4 linked regions of the Saccharomyces cerevisiae S288C genome follow. The main gene of each other region encodes a partner of the protein of the gene in region 4 in a complex. Each region holds a gene or a part of one and is shown on either strand. Other genes may lie near its edges. The genes, in order: NKP2, OKP1, CHL4 and AME1. A codon is read from its position in the direction of its gene.

What was found.
Region 1: the proteins of AME1 (region 4) and NKP2 are in contact, whole or in part, in a cryo-EM structure (PDB 6NUW), measured with the Saccharomyces cerevisiae proteins. Residues at the interface, in NP_009770.3 of Saccharomyces cerevisiae: Lys172 (codon at 1,420), Arg176 (codon at 1,408), Gln179 (codon at 1,399), Asp183 (codon at 1,387), Thr186 (codon at 1,378), Arg187 (codon at 1,375), Ile195 (codon at 1,351), Ser198 (codon at 1,342), Glu201 (codon at 1,333), Leu202 (codon at 1,330), Gln205 (codon at 1,321), Leu206 (codon at 1,318), His294 (codon at 1,054), Tyr302 (codon at 1,030), Leu305 (codon at 1,021), Ile312 (codon at 1,000), Asn315 (codon at 991), Glu319 (codon at 979); in NP_013419.1 of Saccharomyces cerevisiae: Ile20 (codon at 1,165), Gln27 (codon at 1,144), Gln28 (codon at 1,141), Glu36 (codon at 1,117), Tyr43 (codon at 1,096), Arg52 (codon at 1,069), Val53 (codon at 1,066), Glu56 (codon at 1,057), Arg60 (codon at 1,045), Thr116 (codon at 877), Ala120 (codon at 865), Glu123 (codon at 856), Asn124 (codon at 853), Arg127 (codon at 844), Ser128 (codon at 841), Leu139 (codon at 808), Tyr146 (codon at 787), Leu150 (codon at 775), Asn153 (codon at 766).
Region 2: the proteins of AME1 (region 4) and OKP1 are in contact, whole or in part, in a crystal structure (PDB 8T0P), measured with the Saccharomyces cerevisiae proteins. Residues at the interface, in NP_009770.3 of Saccharomyces cerevisiae: Ser126 (codon at 1,558), Ile129 (codon at 1,549), Thr130 (codon at 1,546), Ser131 (codon at 1,543), Thr133 (codon at 1,537), Thr134 (codon at 1,534), Ile135 (codon at 1,531), Asp136 (codon at 1,528), Val137 (codon at 1,525), Leu138 (codon at 1,522), Ser140 (codon at 1,516), Leu141 (codon at 1,513), Phe142 (codon at 1,510), Asn144 (codon at 1,504), Leu145 (codon at 1,501), Asn148 (codon at 1,492), Asp149 (codon at 1,489), Leu150 (codon at 1,486), Gln165 (codon at 1,441), Phe166 (codon at 1,438), Leu169 (codon at 1,429), Leu170 (codon at 1,426), Lys172 (codon at 1,420), Leu173 (codon at 1,417), Asp174 (codon at 1,414), Arg176 (codon at 1,408), Leu177 (codon at 1,405), Phe178 (codon at 1,402), Thr180 (codon at 1,396), Ile181 (codon at 1,393); in NP_011695.1 of Saccharomyces cerevisiae: Pro127 (codon at 1,343), Trp128 (codon at 1,340), Phe130 (codon at 1,334), Val133 (codon at 1,325), Ile134 (codon at 1,322), Glu137 (codon at 1,313), Tyr138 (codon at 1,310), Arg141 (codon at 1,301), Leu142 (codon at 1,298), Glu147 (codon at 1,283), Ile162 (codon at 1,238), Leu165 (codon at 1,229), Leu166 (codon at 1,226), Asn169 (codon at 1,217), Thr170 (codon at 1,214), Ser172 (codon at 1,208), Ala173 (codon at 1,205), Leu174 (codon at 1,202), Ser176 (codon at 1,196), Val177 (codon at 1,193), Phe178 (codon at 1,190), Tyr181 (codon at 1,181), Glu184 (codon at 1,172), Met185 (codon at 1,169), Met188 (codon at 1,160), Glu195 (codon at 1,139), Ile199 (codon at 1,127), Lys203 (codon at 1,115), Leu206 (codon at 1,106), Leu207 (codon at 1,103).
Region 3: the proteins of AME1 (region 4) and CHL4 are in contact, whole or in part, in a cryo-EM structure (PDB 6NUW), measured with the Saccharomyces cerevisiae proteins. Residues at the interface, in NP_009770.3 of Saccharomyces cerevisiae: Glu214 (codon at 1,294), Asn217 (codon at 1,285), Ile221 (codon at 1,273), Arg224 (codon at 1,264), Asn225 (codon at 1,261), Gln228 (codon at 1,252), Lys231 (codon at 1,243), Ala232 (codon at 1,240), Asp235 (codon at 1,231), Trp236 (codon at 1,228); in NP_010540.3 of Saccharomyces cerevisiae: Arg113 (codon at 1,953), Gly114 (codon at 1,950), Asp115 (codon at 1,947), Gln133 (codon at 1,893), Ala137 (codon at 1,881), Lys138 (codon at 1,878), Ile219 (codon at 1,635), Tyr220 (codon at 1,632), Arg222 (codon at 1,626), Leu223 (codon at 1,623), Gln226 (codon at 1,614), Ser229 (codon at 1,605), Arg230 (codon at 1,602), Ile238 (codon at 1,578), Ile239 (codon at 1,575), Phe240 (codon at 1,572).

The regions. Positions count from the first base shown.
Region 1 is NC_001144.5:762,143-766,029, reverse strand, and holds NKP2 (Nkp2p), read right to left. Parts: upstream 1,223-3,887; coding exon 761-1,222; downstream 1-760. Other genes in the region: TAD3 (Tad3p), read left to right, coding at 1-764; septin CDC3, read left to right, coding at 1,893-3,455; SPH1 (Sph1p), read left to right, coding at 3,688-3,887. UniProt on the Saccharomyces cerevisiae protein: Component of the kinetochore, a multiprotein complex that assembles on centromeric DNA and attaches chromosomes to spindle microtubules, mediating chromosome segregation and sister chromatid segregation during meiosis and mitosis.
Region 2 is NC_001139.9:853,175-857,659, forward strand, and holds OKP1 (Okp1p), read right to left. Parts: upstream 1,722-4,485; coding exon 501-1,721; downstream 1-500. Other genes in the region: PBP1 (Pbp1p), read right to left, coding at 1-41; ribonucleotide-diphosphate reductase subunit RNR4, read right to left, coding at 2,090-3,127. UniProt on the Saccharomyces cerevisiae protein: Component of the kinetochore, a multiprotein complex that assembles on centromeric DNA and attaches chromosomes to spindle microtubules, mediating chromosome segregation and sister chromatid segregation during meiosis and mitosis.
Region 3 is NC_001136.10:962,596-967,401, reverse strand, and holds CHL4 (Chl4p), read right to left. Parts: upstream 2,290-4,806; coding exon 913-2,289; downstream 1-912. Other genes in the region: ubiquitin-protein ligase RMD5, read left to right, coding at 1-845; MET32 (Met32p), read left to right, coding at 2,837-3,412; CCR4-NOT core subunit BTT1, read right to left, coding at 3,541-3,990; PAM1 (Pam1p), read right to left, coding at 4,296-4,806. UniProt on the Saccharomyces cerevisiae protein: Component of the kinetochore, a multiprotein complex that assembles on centromeric DNA and attaches chromosomes to spindle microtubules, mediating chromosome segregation and sister chromatid segregation during meiosis and mitosis.
Region 4 is NC_001134.8:645,200-649,618, forward strand, and holds AME1 (Ame1p), read right to left. Parts: upstream 1,934-4,419; coding exon 959-1,933; downstream 1-958. Other genes in the region: ERV15 (Erv15p), read left to right, coding at 351-779; NGR1 (Ngr1p), read left to right, coding at 2,687-4,419.

The sequences.
Region 1 (3,887 bases), on a different chromosome or scaffold from region 4:
GACATTTGAAAAGGATCCGCAAGGACATCGAGACCTCCACCTTGGAAGTGGTGTTGTGTTCGAAAGAGTATATTTGCGACGAAGGTGAAATAAACAATAAATTGAAGAGTATTTGGGTTGGAACGAAAAAGTATGAACTGAGTGATGATATCGAAGTGCCTGAGTTTGCGCCCAGCACAAAGGAACTGAACAATGCCTGGTCTGTGAAGTACTGGCCGTTGATTTGGAACGGCAACCCCAATGATCAAATATTGAACGACTATAAAATAGACATGCAGGAAGTACGAAATGAGCTATCGCGTGCGTCGACGTTGTCTGTGAAGATGGCAACGGCAGGAAAACAGTTTCCAATGGTGAGCGTCTTTGTTGACCCATCAAGAAAGAAGGACAAAGTGGTGGCAGAAGATGGCAGAAACTGCGAAAACTCGCTACCCATCGACCACAGTGTAATGGTGGGCATCCGTGCGGTAGGCGAAAGACTCAGGGAGGGTGTAGACGAAGACGCAAACTCTTATCTGTGTCTTGATTACGACGTCTATTTGACCCATGAGCCGTGCTCAATGTGCTCCATGGCCCTGATCCATTCTCGTGTGAGACGAGTGGTCTTCCTTACAGAGATGCAGCGCACCGGGAGCTTAAAATTAACGAGTGGTGACGGGTACTGCATGAACGATAACAAACAGCTAAACTCAACATACGAAGCCTTTCAATGGATCGGCGAGGAATATCCTGTGGGGCAGGTTGACCGGGATGTCTGCTGCTAGTTTTCCTCTAATAGATTAATATAAGATTGTATAATTTGTAATAGGCCAGGAATGGCATTGTCTCCTGCACTCGGTGAGCGAACCATATTTTCAAATTCTGCTAGTTCCGAGGTCTTTTCCTGAATAGCATCATCCAGAATCTGCAAACGCTGTTGCAACAGGTCATTAATCTTGTACAGCGCGTCGATCAGTGTCTCGAGGCTAAGGGAGTGTGATAGTTGCTCGCTTTCCAGAAATCGCAGTAATCTAGAGCGCAACGTTATGAAAAACTGCTTGATTCGTGCTTCTAACTCAGAGGTCACTCGCGCATCCCTGGCCTGAAGCAATTCGTACCAATGTTGCAGTTGTTGCTCGTCGCTCGTGTACGACTGTAGTTGCTGCTTGAACTCTTGAAAACTTATCAGAGTAGTGAGTAGCGAATCCGAAACATAGTTATGCAGCAGCTGTTCAGAGTTCATTTATAATGGTAATTTCAAAGCAAGATTGGGAGCACAATTGTCAAATCTATGATTATTTTGTTGCGTTATACCCAGCTTTTGGGCTTTTTCGAGAACGATCTTCGTTGTTTTTCGCTGTTTCTCCGCGAAGCGGGCAGCGGCGACGGTAATATTGGCTGTTAATCTATTGTTATCTTGTAGTTGTACAAGATCATTCCTTTAATTCTATATATTAACTGTTCGTGGCGTAACAAGAAATCGATTCTGACATCAAATGGAAGACATCAGCAGTTACACTAGTGGTGCAGGAAAGGCACCGCAAGGGAGTGCAAGAAGCTGTGAGAAACAACTTTATATAACTTGCTGCTTGATAATTGTGACAGAATATTCTCGCACCTTGCAAACATATATAGCAGCACCTCTAGATTTCTCCTTCCTTCCTTTCGTAAAAAGGAACCACCTGGGCGGCTAATTTAGTATTTTCGTCTTTTATGATCTACGTGTGTAATGATATGGTGGGGGCGTGTTTTCGCTTCCCATTTTTTGCCATTTTTTGTCTCGGTTTTAGGAATTGCGTTTTGTGTTGTTTTGTGTATTAAGTTAAAATCTCTCGAGGAAAGCAGATCAAGAAAATATCAAATCCAGGATCACACGACAACTGAACGATTACATCGGCCTATAATACGTTGCCATGAGTTTAAAGGAGGAACAAGTGTCCATTAAGCAGGACCCGGAACAAGAAGAGCGTCAGCATGATCAATTCAATGATGTTCAGATCAAACAAGAGTCGCAGGATCATGATGGAGTGGACTCGCAGTACACGAACGGTACGCAAAATGACGACAGCGAGAGATTTGAGGCAGCTGAATCCGATGTAAAGGTGGAACCCGGCCTCGGTATGGGCATCACCTCCTCTCAGAGCGAAAAGGGTCAAGTTCTGCCTGACCAACCGGAGATTAAGTTCATTCGTCGTCAAATCAATGGTTATGTAGGGTTTGCTAATTTGCCCAAGCAATGGCACAGAAGGTCCATAAAGAACGGATTCAGTTTCAATCTCCTATGTGTCGGCCCTGATGGTATTGGTAAGACAACTTTAATGAAAACTTTATTTAATAATGATGATATTGAGGCCAATTTAGTGAAAGATTACGAGGAGGAACTTGCAAATGATCAGGAAGAAGAGGAGGGTCAGGGCGAGGGTCACGAGAACCAATCACAAGAACAAAGGCACAAGGTCAAAATTAAGTCATATGAGTCGGTTATTGAAGAAAATGGTGTTAAACTGAATTTGAACGTGATCGATACTGAAGGATTTGGTGATTTTTTAAATAATGATCAAAAATCATGGGACCCGATCATTAAGGAGATTGACTCTCGTTTTGATCAATACTTGGATGCGGAGAACAAAATCAACAGACATTCAATAAACGATAAAAGAATCCATGCATGTCTTTATTTCATTGAACCTACAGGACATTACTTAAAGCCCCTGGACCTGAAGTTTATGCAATCTGTATATGAAAAATGTAACTTGATTCCTGTCATTGCTAAATCTGACATCTTAACTGATGAAGAGATCTTAAGTTTCAAGAAGACCATTATGAACCAGTTAATCCAATCTAATATCGAGCTGTTCAAGCCTCCAATTTATTCCAACGATGATGCAGAAAATAGCCATTTATCCGAAAGACTATTTAGTAGTTTACCTTATGCTGTTATTGGTTCCAACGATATTGTAGAGAACTACAGTGGTAATCAAGTGAGAGGCCGTTCCTATCCATGGGGGGTGATCGAAGTGGACAATGACAACCACTCTGATTTCAACCTTTTGAAAAATTTATTGATCAAGCAATTCATGGAGGAATTAAAGGAAAGGACAAGCAAGATACTATACGAAAACTACAGGTCTTCTAAATTGGCAAAACTTGGTATTAAGCAAGATAATTCAGTTTTCAAAGAGTTCGATCCAATATCTAAACAACAAGAAGAAAAAACTTTACATGAGGCAAAACTAGCCAAACTAGAAATTGAAATGAAAACAGTTTTCCAACAAAAAGTTTCCGAAAAGGAGAAAAAACTACAAAAATCAGAAACTGAATTGTTTGCTAGACATAAAGAAATGAAGGAAAAATTAACTAAACAATTAAAAGCTTTGGAGGACAAGAAAAAACAGCTAGAACTTTCAATAAATAGTGCTTCTCCCAATGTTAACCACTCCCCCGTCCCTACAAAGAAGAAGGGATTTTTACGTTAGCGAAATAAAGACATATAAAAATTTCAAACATACACTATTAAATATTATTACTATTAATATATAAAACGCGAGACGCGTAAAATAAAAAGAAGAAGGGTAAATAGAAAAAAATGGAAATGAAGAAAAACAGAGTTATTCAACTAAATATCTGTTATGATTTGAATCGCAGAATATAAAATTAAAACAGTAAAGTAAAAGAATATCATAATGTGGCCATAACGAAATAAAAAGAATGATTAGCTCAGAATTAACGAATGATCAAATCATAGACCTTATATCGGATTATAAGAATTTCAAAAGAATTATAGAGGCCTCTGTACCAGAAGATGATAGAAGAAGGAACCAAAACCGCCAAAATAGAAATAAAGACCTGACAAAATTGTCGAATGTACAATTTTGGCAACTGACGACTGATGTCAACGATGAATTGAT
Region 2 (4,485 bases), on a different chromosome or scaffold from region 4:
GAGTTGGTGGAGCTATCTCTTTTCCTAAAGTTTCCCTTCATATTGTTTCAATGTAATGAACTCCTTTAATTACTTCCGTGACTGAGGATGTCAGTTTTTATATCAAATCAATTTTCAAAGATTTAATTATTGCTTCCCCTTCAAGATCAATTCGGAAATAATCGAAACGTCTTCTGGAAAGAACAAAAAGAAAGATAGAAGAAAACGCGAGTGAATGACCTATATCTTCCTTAAAGATCTATGCGATGAGAGATGCCGATTTAAGAACTGCTTTACAAAAACGCAAATCTCAAGTAAAGAAAGTGCCTCCCAATTGAGCTTTCCTTCCTTCTTTATTTTTTTTTTTTTCCAGTTTTTCATAATTTGTTGTGGCTCTCCAAGGTTTTCTGAGGCTCGTTGGCGGAGAAGTTACGTAACCCGGATGCTAATAGTGCATGATTATATATCAAATATTTAGTTATATGCATCGTAATCGTAAACTCTGAAACAATGGATTATCGCTAGTGTATATCTTCTTCGGTCTTATCTTGGTGCGACTCATGGTGCGGTACAAAAACCTCTTTGATTTCTTCTTCATGTGAATCCGAAATCATTTGACCCATTGTTTCCTTAAGTTCCTTTGATTTCTTCGTATATTCTTTCAAAGAAGGTAACAACGACAGTACTTCCTCCTTATCAAGCCTCACATCGGCTGTACTTTTTATGGGGTCGTTCAACATCAGGTTCAATTCGTGGCTATCATTTCTAAAAGTTACTGGGCCATCAGGATGCATAAATCCATTAGTAGATTCTAAGCCATATGTATATTCCATTGCTTTGTTAAGTACTGGATGCAGATCTTTTTGTATTAGCTTCTCAGTGAGTCGTTTCTTGTTGTTTGTTTTTAAATTCATGCACAACTTCCTAGTTTCCTCCAAAAGGTTTTGTTCACGTGAAAGAATTGCTTCCAATCTCTCATTATTTTGTAGTTCTTGTGAATACCGGTTTTGAATAAATTGTCGCTTAGAATAAATATACTCGATGTCTAGATCTCTTTCCGATATCCTAGAGGGAAATTTGGCCTGTCTTAGCTTCTTCTTTATCTTTGTGAGGATTATTTCAAGCAAACGTTCCTTCTTAGAATATATTCTTTTAACCTCATTATTATCGCCATGCGTCATTTGGTTCATTTCCTTTTCGTACTTCTCAAAGACAGAATCAAGAGCGCTTACAGTGTTAGTCTCTAATAAACGAAGTATGGATCCTATCATTATTTTAGAAGGCTTTTTCCAATGCTTTAATTCATAATTGCGCGGCAACCTTTCTCTATACTCAGCTTGTATTACCTTCCTGAATTCCCAAGGTCGTACATTGCCCTCTCCACTTGTTGCGCTTCCATCCGATAGATGAGATTGCAATTTACCTGTACTTTCCTTGCCAACCTCAAATCGAAGTTGTTTAGATCCTTTATGATGGTATTGTCCTTCTTCTTTGTTCGTGCGCTCTTCTATTTCTCCTTCTTCAGCATCATCAGAGTTCTCATAAAAAAGCGACTTCTTTGATTGGGTGCTTTTAGCTTCTGGTGCTACGTCCAGACGTAAAGTTTTAATATCATTCACATTCATGAGAATGCTGCTATCGCTTTCAGAGGAACTTCGGTTGGGTGACAGATCCATGGCCTGGCCATTGTTAATTGAATCATTTTCAATATTTTGTAAAAAATTATCTCTATCAGCTGCCATACAGTATACGTAGCACTAGTATCGCTTGAATTATTCGTCCATAGGGTGCAAGTTACCTCATCCATTGTTGCTATGTACCTCTATCTGTATTAACTTCGAGGTAGTAAACAAATGGGTGGACCGTATTGTGACTCTCCGGGTAACAAAAATATGTTATTTAAATGAAATGACCGGGATGATGGTACTCTCTGAATCTTTCCCTTATCTACCTACAAGAAAATGGCAAATATTGTCATAATAAATATAAAAAAAAACTGTAGTTTCTTTTTAAATTTTTCTACTTAAGTTTAGTTATACTGTACCTAGGTATATATAAATATATATAAATAAAAGTGGCCAAGAATAAAAGAACGCACCCCGTCGTTGACTTAGAAGTCATCATCAAAGTTAATTTCCTTGGATGGGGTAGCGGACTTAGACATGTCACTGGCCTTTTGGTAGTCGGAAACCTTCTTTTCAAAGAAGGTGGTCTTACCAGCGGTAGCGACATCCTCCATGAATTCGAATGGGTTGACGGCGTTGTAGTATTTTTCGTTACCGAAACCTTGTAATAGACCGTCAGCGACAAATTCTATGTAGGTGTGAATGCTCTTCAAATCCATACCAAATTTTTCTACTGGCAAAGAGTTTGAGTAGTATTCCTTTTCAATTTCCACGGCTTCGGTAATGATTTTTTCAATGATCTTGGGGTTTGGCTTGGTTCTCAAATGGGCAAATAGCAAGCATGAAAAGTCAGTGTAGGCACCTCTGTCTCTACAGATGTTTCTGTTGGCCATTGCTAAACCTGGCATAATCTTTTTGTCAGTCAACCAGAACATAGAAGCATAGTTACCAGCTTGGAAAATACCTTCCTTTGCAGCAAATGCTACTAGTCTTTCAGCATACAAGCTGTCATCGTTGGAAATCCATCTCTCGATGAAAGCAGCCTTATGCTTGACTTCAGGCAAATTGGCAATTTCCTTGAATAGAGGGATGTTCTTAGGGTCCTTGAAGAAGGCATCAACCATCATGGAGTAAACTTCAGAGTAGATGTTTTCCATCATAATCTGGAACCCGTAGAAACTCTTACCTTCAGGGTTTTGCAATTGGGCAGAAAAGTTTTCGATCAAGTACTTGTTGACAAGGTTGTCAGAAGAAATGGACAAGGCTAACAAGTTACCGATGTAGGTCTTCTGGTCATCAGTCAATTTTTGGAAATCTTCAGTGTCCTTAGCCAATTCGATTTCTTCCGCAGTCCAGAAAGAGGCTTCAACCTTCTTGTAAGCAGCCCAGATTTCGTGGTATTTGATAGGGAACATCACGAATCTACGGCTGTTTTCCATCAAAAGGATTTCATCCTTTTCAGCTTCTTTCATATCATGACGTTCTTTTTGGAAAGTCTTCAAAAATTGGTTATGTGCTTCCATTGTAATAACTAATTGTGTGCGTTGCGCGGGGTTGTGTGGCTCAAAAAGATCTGTTTTTGTATTAGCAATTTTTTATTTCCCTTTTTAAATGAATTTTTTTTCTTTCTGTTTCGAGACAAGGCCTTTTGCAAAAAAAAAAAAAGTAAAAAAGTGAAATTTGATAGTGTAAGGGGACAGAGGTGGGGTCAGAAACCAATGTATCTATTGATAGTCTTTTTTTGATCGAAAAGCCAAGAGACAAAAAATGAAGAAAATGAGAGATAAGGAATGAAACTTTAGGAACATTGAAGATTCAATCGCCGTTTTTATACGCCAGAGCTTCATGAGACCAAGGAAGGAACGGACGTCGTCTACCGATTACAGTAAGCAAAGAGGATGGTGTTGCCACAACAACGCCCATCGGGAAGGCAAGAGACGCTGTGGTGAACAATAACTGCCAAAACGTGGTTCTCGCACGCTGAAAAGCGCGTTCTCGTGCGCCGCTTTCAGTGTGCTAGAACTTGCACTGTCCGGTTTCCGGTGCTTGGTGTTGGGTGGTCGTACCTGCTAGTTCCATTGGTGCGGTGTATGGGCGGGTACCCTCAAAAAGGGAAACGAAGGTAGGCGCACGGTGCTTATTAAGCTCAGAGGCGACCTCGCAGAAGGGGGCAGACCACACAAGCGGTGGAGGCGCTCCAGATATTCAGTGGAGTGGGGCTTGCTCATGTTCTGTTGTTGGTTTTGGATAGAAAAAGAGCGGGTTGAATAGTTTGCCATGGCAACCACTCTGGAAGCGAAATCACATAGACGCGTAAACACTCACACACAGGATATTCGTATAGCAAGGTACTAGTGGCGACACTCAGGTGGTCCTCGTTGCCTTATCTCCAGATTCCTCAATTTCTGTGAAACGTAAACATTATGGGAATAGTCTAGACGCGTACTTCATTTTCTTTGTTTCGTGAAAAGTACACTTTCCCGTCTTCGCCGGTTCCCTTTCTTGCCTGAAATGCTCGTTCTAATGGAAAAAAAAAGAAATAAAGGTGGGCCTGCCCATTAGCAGGAAATTGGTACTTAATTATTGAAAAAAAAATTATTGGTTGCTAAGAGATTCGAACTCTTGCATCTTACGATACCTGAGTATTCCCACAGTTAACTGCGGTCAAGATATTTCTTGAATCAGGCGCCTTAGACCGCTCGGCCAAACAACCACTTATTTGTTGAAAGCGAGCGCGGTACAAGTAATGTTACCTCATCTGATATACAATAAAGGTGGAGCGCCAATATATACGCATTTGACTGTTCATAATTCATTGAATATAATTTATTCCTTGTTAGTACAAAAGGGTTAAACAGAAAAAGACGTGACGTTGTAACCG
Region 3 (4,806 bases), on a different chromosome or scaffold from region 4:
ACCATATTTTGAGGTATAGTATAGACAACATGCCATTAGGAAATAAAAATGAGGCTTTCCAGTATCTAAAAGATGTCTACGGAATTACTAATAAAGAATCTACTGAATTTATTGAGATGGGCCAAATCGTACATGATCTTAAAAAGGGTGACACAGAAAGCTGTCTGAAATGGTGCTCCAATGAAATGGAAAGCTTATCATCTAACCATACGGCTTTATCGTCCCTAAAATTTGATTTATACACTTTGTCAGCAATGCAGATAGTGAAGCATGGAAATCCGGTAGAGTTGTACTACCAAATAACACAGAACGCACCCCTGGATTGCTTTAGACATAGGGAGAAGGAATTAATGCAAAACGTCGTACCATTATTAACTAAATCGCTAATAGGTCAACCTATTGAAGATATTGATTCTAAAGTAAATAAGGAATTAAAAGAATGCACGTCGTTATTTATAAAAGAATATTGTGCTGCAAAACATATTTTCTTTGACTCTCCCTTGTTTTTGATAGTATTGAGTGGTTTAATTTCTTTCCAATTTTTCATCAAATACAAAACCATCAGGGAGTTAGCGCACGTTGACTGGACTACGAAAGATGAGTTGCCATTTGATGTCAAGTTACCAGATTTTCTGACTCATTTCCATCCGATCTTCATCTGTCCCGTCTTAAAGGAGGAAACCACTACAGAAAATCCTCCTTATTCACTGGCATGCCATCACATCATTTCTAAAAAGGCGCTAGACAGATTATCGAAGAACGGAACAATTACTTTCAAGTGCCCATACTGCCCCGTAAATACTTCAATGAGCAGTACAAAAAAGGTTCGTTTTGTTATGCTTTGACTGAAATTTTTGCATAGGTTTTTTTTTTTTTTTTTTATTGGAAGCGATAACAGAACACAGTAGTTTTCTACAGTAAACCACCTTTAGCAACCTGCTCTCGCTGAAAATCTCCATTCATTATCGTTCCTGAGAACGATCCATTTTCTCCAGCCAACCACCCAGGAACTTTATCAATATTTATTAAATTTTTATCGCATAGTTCGTGTAATCCCCCAAAAATATCATTACCATTAAATTTCAATTTTATGGTAATTATTCTACTGTTTATTTCGTTTTTTAAAGTGAATCCAACTTTTTCAATAGGAACTAAGGAACTGTATCTAGAAATGTACACTGGCTCACCAGAATCTTCATTTTTCTTTCCATTCCTAATATTGTGGACATGTTCGTTAAATTCTTTCAAATCATTATATTTCTGATCCATTACGCCGTTTGCTGAACCTTTGAATTTGATCATGTTTTTCTCTAACCTTAGTCGTCTAATTTCAGGTTCTTCTTTTCCGTAAAAATTCTCATCGTCATTTAAGAAAGAATCATCAAATTCTCTAACCATTACCTTTTTACCAGTAAGGCCTTGGTGCTTTTTGTAGTCGTGTAGTGGTGACCGTTCAAAGTTAGCACTAGCATAACATTCCCATGGGCCCATAGACTCCGCAAATCTCGAAGGTCCTAATAAAGTCATTATATTATGTATTGATTTCACGGGTATTTTCTGTACCGGTTTGAAGATGATTGTTTCTCTTTCTGATATCGTTCGACTAATGCTCTGCAAAACTAGTCTAGCATAAATATCCTTGTCAACTGAATGGAAAATTATTGGAGAATTTAGCGGGAATGCAACGTAATATGGTCTCCTTGATATTAATGGTTTCCCTTGGAATTTGTCTAACTTGTTGTAAAGAGACTCTTTATTTATACTCCCTATATTAGGCGTACTCAAAAATAAATTATTGCTGTCAAATAGCTGTATTCTGGTAATTAACACTGGCAAAGAGGGATGTTTAAACATGTAAACATGACAATGGTAAATTTTCGCTAGATCTGTTTGTAAATTTTCTATAAATTTGGCAGGTTGGAGCTTTACTACGTAAGGTTTCCCATCTCCCCGTAAAGCTTTTGATGGAAGCCACTTAAATTTCTCTGGTTTACTTATCATTAAATGGCAATCTATTTCTGCTAATTGGAAAACATTCAGGCCATCCGGCCAGTATACGTATAATATCCTATTTACTATAACATTTCGCCTCACGCCTTTCTCAATCAGTAAGTCTAATGTTTCTGTCAATAAATATATGTCACCATCAAATGACCCACCGAATTTTGCGAACCATGATAGCGTAAGATCATATAATACCGTTACCGGCAGCTTCATCAATTGTTTGAAAACTACTAGTGTGTCGGAAGTTGGTACATAGTTATCTTCAAGCCGTAATTCGTTAGACATTAATTGCTACTCAAATATACTAGTCAAAGATAGTATCCACCAAAATCTTTCCCCGCTAAAATAACGCCAGATGCTTTCTATGCTTCTAATCTTTTACCATTTACCTTTGTTTATTTCAATATAAACTTTAATTTACAGTCCCTATCTATTGCCCGACTGGACTAACATGCACGTGACATTTTGTGATGGTTTTTCGTCCCTTACTTAGTACGCTTAGTACGCCACAGTTTATATTTTCTTGACAATAATAAAGAACCTGATTGTGGGTTAGAACTTGCTATACTTTTAGTTTAAAATAAGCAGGAAATAATCTTGAGTTCTGTATCATTATTATAAATAAAACTATATTTGTTCTCTTTGTCGCCCTCGGAACTTTCCTCATTACATTGACGAGGTATATATAGATATAGTAGATATACATATCTATCCATGGTATATATGTATGCATCTGGATAATTGAATAGGGTTTCATGTCATATGCCAAGAATTTGTTAATAATATAGTGGAAAAAAGTCAAGAGGTATTATAAATTTCAAAAAAGTACCAAATGGAGGATCAGGATGCTGCATTTATCAAACAGGCTACAGAAGCAATAGTGGATGTATCATTAAATATAGATAACATAGATCCTATAATAAAAGAGTTATTAGAAAGGGTAAGGAATAGGCAAAACAGGTTACAAAATAAAAAACCAGCACTCATACCGGCAGAAAATGGTGTTGATATAAATAGTCAAGGCGGTAACATAAAGGTTAAAAAGGAAAACGCATTACCAAAACCACCGAAGTCCAGCAAAAGCAAACCCCAAGATCGTAGAAATAGTACTGGTGAAAAAAGATTTAAATGTGCGAAATGTTCGTTGGAATTTTCAAGATCATCAGATTTGAGAAGGCACGAAAAGACACACTTCGCCATATTGCCTAACATTTGTCCTCAATGTGGCAAAGGTTTTGCAAGGAAAGATGCATTGAAAAGACATTATGATACACTGACATGTAGGAGAAACAGGACTAAATTACTAACTGCGGGTGGTGAGGGTATCAATGAATTACTGAAAAAAGTCAAGCAATCCAACATCGTTCATCGTCAAGATAACAACCACAATGGTAGCAGTAATGGCTGAAAGAGTAAATAGCGTGTATCTTCTCAAATAAGAAAATATATATTCATCTGCAACATTAATGTGATAGCATTTCCACTTCGACATTCGCCACTAGCTATAACGTTTACTGGCAATTATTATGAACTATGTCAGCTATTCATCACTTGTTGTTTTGTCTCGCTGCATCTGTCGCCCAGCTGGTCGAGCACCGTCTGTTCATTTTCTAGGTTATGAGCCAAACCTGTCAAATACTCAAGTTCTTGGCTACCTAATTGAGAGGCTACGCTCGGATACAGCCCATTAAGTGTATTCTCTTTCGGTTGGCCATGAATCATTGTGAGATTGCATTGAGGGGCAATCTGTACAACTGCACTGTTAAAATGTAAAACCTTGCCATTCTTTTTGAAAAAATTTGCTTCGGCAACGTTTTCAATGGTCATTGGATGCAGTTTATGAAGTTCAGCTTGTAACTTGGTATTATCCTTGTCATTGTTATTATATAAATTACCTTTCTTGTTTATTTTCCTTCTGGTACCACCAACTTTGTTTGCTGCTGATAACTTGTGCAGCTTAGCTAATTTTTCTTGATCTACAGGCATTTGATGTTGTAGGATTATGTAGTAGTTTATTTAATTTAGCCGTATTTATTTCTATCAGGGAACCTTTTTAACGCAACTTAATTGTTTCTGTCACAGCGGGAAAAAAAGAAAAAAACAAAACAAAGCATTTAAAAGCATATGCCGTTTATTACATGATCTAAAGTTGTGTTGAAGCTACAAACTTCCTCGTTGGTCATTAACCAAATAGAAAGTGTTTTAGATAAAATGTATAAGTAGATAAAATATAACATATCATTAACAAAAACGGATTATTTGGATTGGAAAGACAAGGGCTCGCGTATTTGTTACTTTTTCCTTTTTCCAAAGAAACTGAACTTTTTCTTCTTTTTTTCCTTAACGTCCTCTTTGCGGCTTTCATCTCCCATTGTACTTATATTATTGGCTGTTGCCGCAGCTGAAACTGTATCTTCAGAAGGTGTCCCTAGTTTTATTACAGCAGCAGGGTTATCACTCGTAGCAAAGTTGGTCTGAATTGGTGATGGTTGCGTAATATTGATCTGAGGAACTTTTGAGGTACCGTTTTGAGATAGAGACTGTAATTGGGGCGGAGAGTCACTGTTCAATTGATTAACGCACGGAGCAGAATCCGCATTTCTACTGTTTTGTACTGTGTTTCTATTCTCCAAATTGCTTAGATTTGGACTTGAAATAGAGTTAACAAAACCCGATTGCTGATTTGAAATATTGTAATTTGCAGATGGTATGCGATTTGTCCTCATGCTACCACCGTTATTTTGAAACGATTTTTGCTGTGTTATCGGTGGACCCTGTTGAGATCTAAACGTACTTTGGTTT
Region 4 (4,419 bases):
TTCACCGTGGAGACCGGGGTTCGACTCCCCGTATCGGAGTTATTTTTTGTTTCTATACCATTATTTTTCTTGAATGTTGCATTATGATAGTATAGTTTTGCTATACAAACTTCAATTCTCAAAACACAGTACGTCTAGCTCACTACTACTCTCTCTAATTCAAAATCGTTCACTTCTATCGAAAGCTGTGATAATTTGGAAATATTGTCGTGGGCCACGAATGATTTTTCAATTACATTGCTAAATACGAAGACATTAATACCTTTATTCATATAAGCACTTTCATTATCATTTTTTACTAAAGATAAAACTAACTGCAGGCACCAAGAAGTTCGAAGCCAAGAGTAAAGATGTCAGGAACCGGATTATCGCTATTCGTGACGGGTCTTATACTGAATTGTTTGAATTCCATTTGCCAGATATACTTTACTATATTATATGGTGATCTTGAAGCAGACTATATCAACTCAATCGAACTGTGTAAGAGGGTGAATAGGTTGAGTGTACCAGAGGCAATTCTACAAGCTTTCATTTCTGCATTGTTTCTTTTTAACGGGTACTGGTTCGTATTTCTCTTGAATGTCCCTGTTCTAGCATATAACGCAAGTAAAGTCTACAAGAAAACACATCTACTGGACGCCACGGATATTTTCAGAAAATTGGGTAGATGCAAAATTGAATGCTTTTTAAAATTGGGATTTTACCTTCTCATATTCTTTTTCTACTTCTACAGAATGGTCACAGCGTTACTTGAAAATGATGCAAATTTGATAAGCTAATAGCGACAACAGGAAAAAAAAAGAGAGATTTGTGCATATCTATGAAGTATGTCTACCACATAAAAATGACCTTATAACACAACTTCCTTAGTATGGAAGTAATACATATATACATATATACATATATACATACATATATATATATATATATATATATATACATCTTTTGAACCAATTCCCTATAGACTTGGTTGTAATTCGTTAGAAAGATTTTCATTAATTTTATTTATCTTTTTCAGAAGTCCGTTATATGGATCCATCAAGTCTACGAAATGTGCAATATCCAGAATATTTGAGTCATCCCGTATTGAATCGTCCTCGCTATCTTGGCTCATAATTTTGCGATCTCCCTCGTATTTGCCTAGCAAAGTAGAAGTCAAATCATTTAGCCTCTTATTTAGCTTCACTTTGTCGTTCAGTTTGGCTTGTTCATTTTGTAAGTCATGCCAGTCTTTACCGGCTTTCAACTCTTGAATTTCATTTCGTACCGATATTATCTGCTGGTTCAAATCTTCTTTTCGAGCAAGTACCTGCTTCAGTTGGTAGCAGAGCTCATTATTCGACACGTTGATATCTAATATGTCTTTCAAGTCTCTGGTCATTTGGTCTGATATCGTTTGAAAGAGTCGCAGATCTAATTTGTACAATAGTTTCCTAAATTGATCATCATCACTTTTATTGAAATCCTTCAAAGCTTGCGGAATCAAATCATTTTCAAATAAGTTTATGAATAAAGAAGATAAAACATCAATTGTGGTCACAGAAGTGATAGACGATGATAGCTGTCTAATGGGTATATCATCGAAATTGTAACGAGTAGTAAGGTCTTCATCATTTCTAACATTTTGCGGCGATTCGCTTATAAGACTTTTATTTTCAGAGTCGATCATGGGATAGTCTTCTGCATCCAAGGGCTGATACCCATGTTCATGACGGTCCTGCGCATTTACGTTATTAGTGGTAATAGGAAACTCGAAAGAATTCGCAAGTTTTGGTGAAGACAAAATGGGTTGAACAGGAGATTGAATAGGTGAGTTCTCCTCTCTATAAACAGCATTTGGCGTCTTAAATACAATAACATCATCATCTATATCGTCTGTCCTTCTTGAATGACTGCCCCTCAGCCTAAAAGCTAATTTAGTGTCTCTATCCATACTGAGGTTTTTCTTTAAATGAACACGCAAATAGTCAAGACAATACAGAGCAACACAGGACACGTAAAAAAATGAGAGCAATCGCTTCTTATACTGCAACGATGTTGACCCTTGCCATAATAGCTAATGAAATCAATCATTATCATTTCTACTAGTCCTTTAACAATATTTGGATACACCATTAAATTTCTCCGTACAACACGATAAAATATTTTCTACCAGCTTCAAACGGCTGTGAAGGGGCGATAGTGCCGTTCCAAAAAGCGTTCCCCAAACTTGTATTCAAGACCAAATCTTAGTCAAGCAAGCAGTTTCGCACCTTCATACACTCCATTAAAAGTGAAAATAAGCATATTTGTAATTAAATCTGGTTATCATACCCTGTTCCCTTTAGAACCAATATACATAGACGCAGTCGACAAAGAAGCAATAAAAGAGATTACCATTCTTATTCACTATTTTTTTTTTTCTCTGACTCTTCATAGTTGTACGGAAAACCATCTGCGTGTTATATCCTAGTTCCAAATATTCTGATTTCTCGTGATCGAATCTGTTATATTGTCATATATTGTAATTCCATTTTTTTCCCGGTTCATTTTTTGATATTCTCTTCCTGTTCCAATATTAATAAAGGAGGCTTTTTTCTTTCCCTTTCGTTCTGATTTATATTGTTTTTACTATTATTGGATCTTTTAAATATTACAGCTTTTTCATATCCTTCGCCATCGATTTTTGCCTGAAAAATTTACACAAATGATGTCTAACGTTGCTAACGCCTCCCAAAGACAGGAAAATCCATATATTATTCCATTGCCTCCTTCATCCACAGTGGAAACTTCTACTGAACCCCCAAGAACGTTATGGATGGGAGATTTGGATCCGTCCTTCGACGAGGCCACGATTGAGGAGATATGGTCAAAACTGGATAAAAAAGTTATCGTTAAACTAATTAGAGCCAAAAAAAATTTGTTGATTCCTTGTAGCTCCACCTCAAGTAGTAATAACAACACAAGTGAGGAGAATGCTGAAAACCAGCAATCTGCATCAAACAGCACTGATCAGTTAGATAATTCCCAAATGATTAATATTAATGGAATATCCTTCATTGATCCTTCCACTACTCAATTACATCATGCCGGATACTGTTTTGTCGAATTTGAAACTCAAAAGGACGCTAAATTTGCCCTGTCATTAAATGCTACACCTTTACCTAATTTTTATTCCCCAACAACTAACTCCCAAACTAATCCAACGTTCAAAAGGACTTTCAGATTGAATTGGGCGTCTGGAGCTACTTTACAAAGTTCTATACCATCTACCCCAGAATTTTCCTTGTTTGTTGGTGATCTTTCTCCCACCGCCACTGAAGCTGATTTGTTATCTCTTTTCCAAACGAGGTTCAAATCTGTTAAAACCGTCCGCGTGATGACTGACCCTTTAACAGGATCATCTCGTTGTTTTGGATTTGTCAGATTCGGTGATGAAGATGAGCGCCGCAGGGCACTGATTGAGATGAGTGGGAAATGGTTTCAAGGAAGGGCCTTAAGAGTCGCTTATGCCACGCCAAGAAATAATATGATGCTGCAGTTACAGGAACAACAACAACAGCAACAACAATTGCAGCAACAGCATCAGCAGCTAGATCAGGAGGATAATAATGGCCCTCTCTTGATTAAGACTGCAAATAATCTCATTCAAAACAATAGCAACATGCTTCCTCTCAATGCCTTGCATAACGCGCCTCCAATGCATTTGAATGAGGGCGGCATTTCAAACATGCGTGTAAATGATTCACTACCTTCAAACACCTATAATACAGACCCCACTAATACTACTGTTTTTGTGGGAGGACTGGTACCAAAAACTACCGAATTTCAATTACGTTCACTATTCAAACCCTTTGGACCCATTCTAAATGTCAGGATTCCCAATGGTAAAAACTGTGGGTTTGTTAAATTCGAGAAGAGGATTGATGCTGAAGCTTCAATACAAGGCCTGCAAGGCTTTATTGTGGGCGGCAGTCCAATAAGATTATCATGGGGACGCCCATCCAGTTCAAATGCTAAAACAAATTCGACCATCATGGGGGCAAGCCAATATATGTCCTCAAATGGCCTGAGAGCGCCATCTGCGGCTTCTTCAGTCGATAACTCCAAACAAATTCTTGAACAATATGCGGAAGATAAAAGGCGACTCTTTTTACATCAGCAGCAGCAGCAGCAGCAGCAGCAGCAACAGGATGGTAACTTTTCTATGGAGCAAATGGCGCACAACAACTATTACAACTACAATAATTACGATTATCACAGGAACAAGAATGGCAGCCATAGCGACCTCGTTAATCTGCAGAGATCTAATGTCCCGTATATGCAAGAAGACGGTGCACTGTACCCACACCAATATTCAAGTCCCTCATACTCGCTCCATCCGACGGGCAACCAATTCTCCAATGCTACTAATAACTTACCTCAATTTGGGAACGCGAT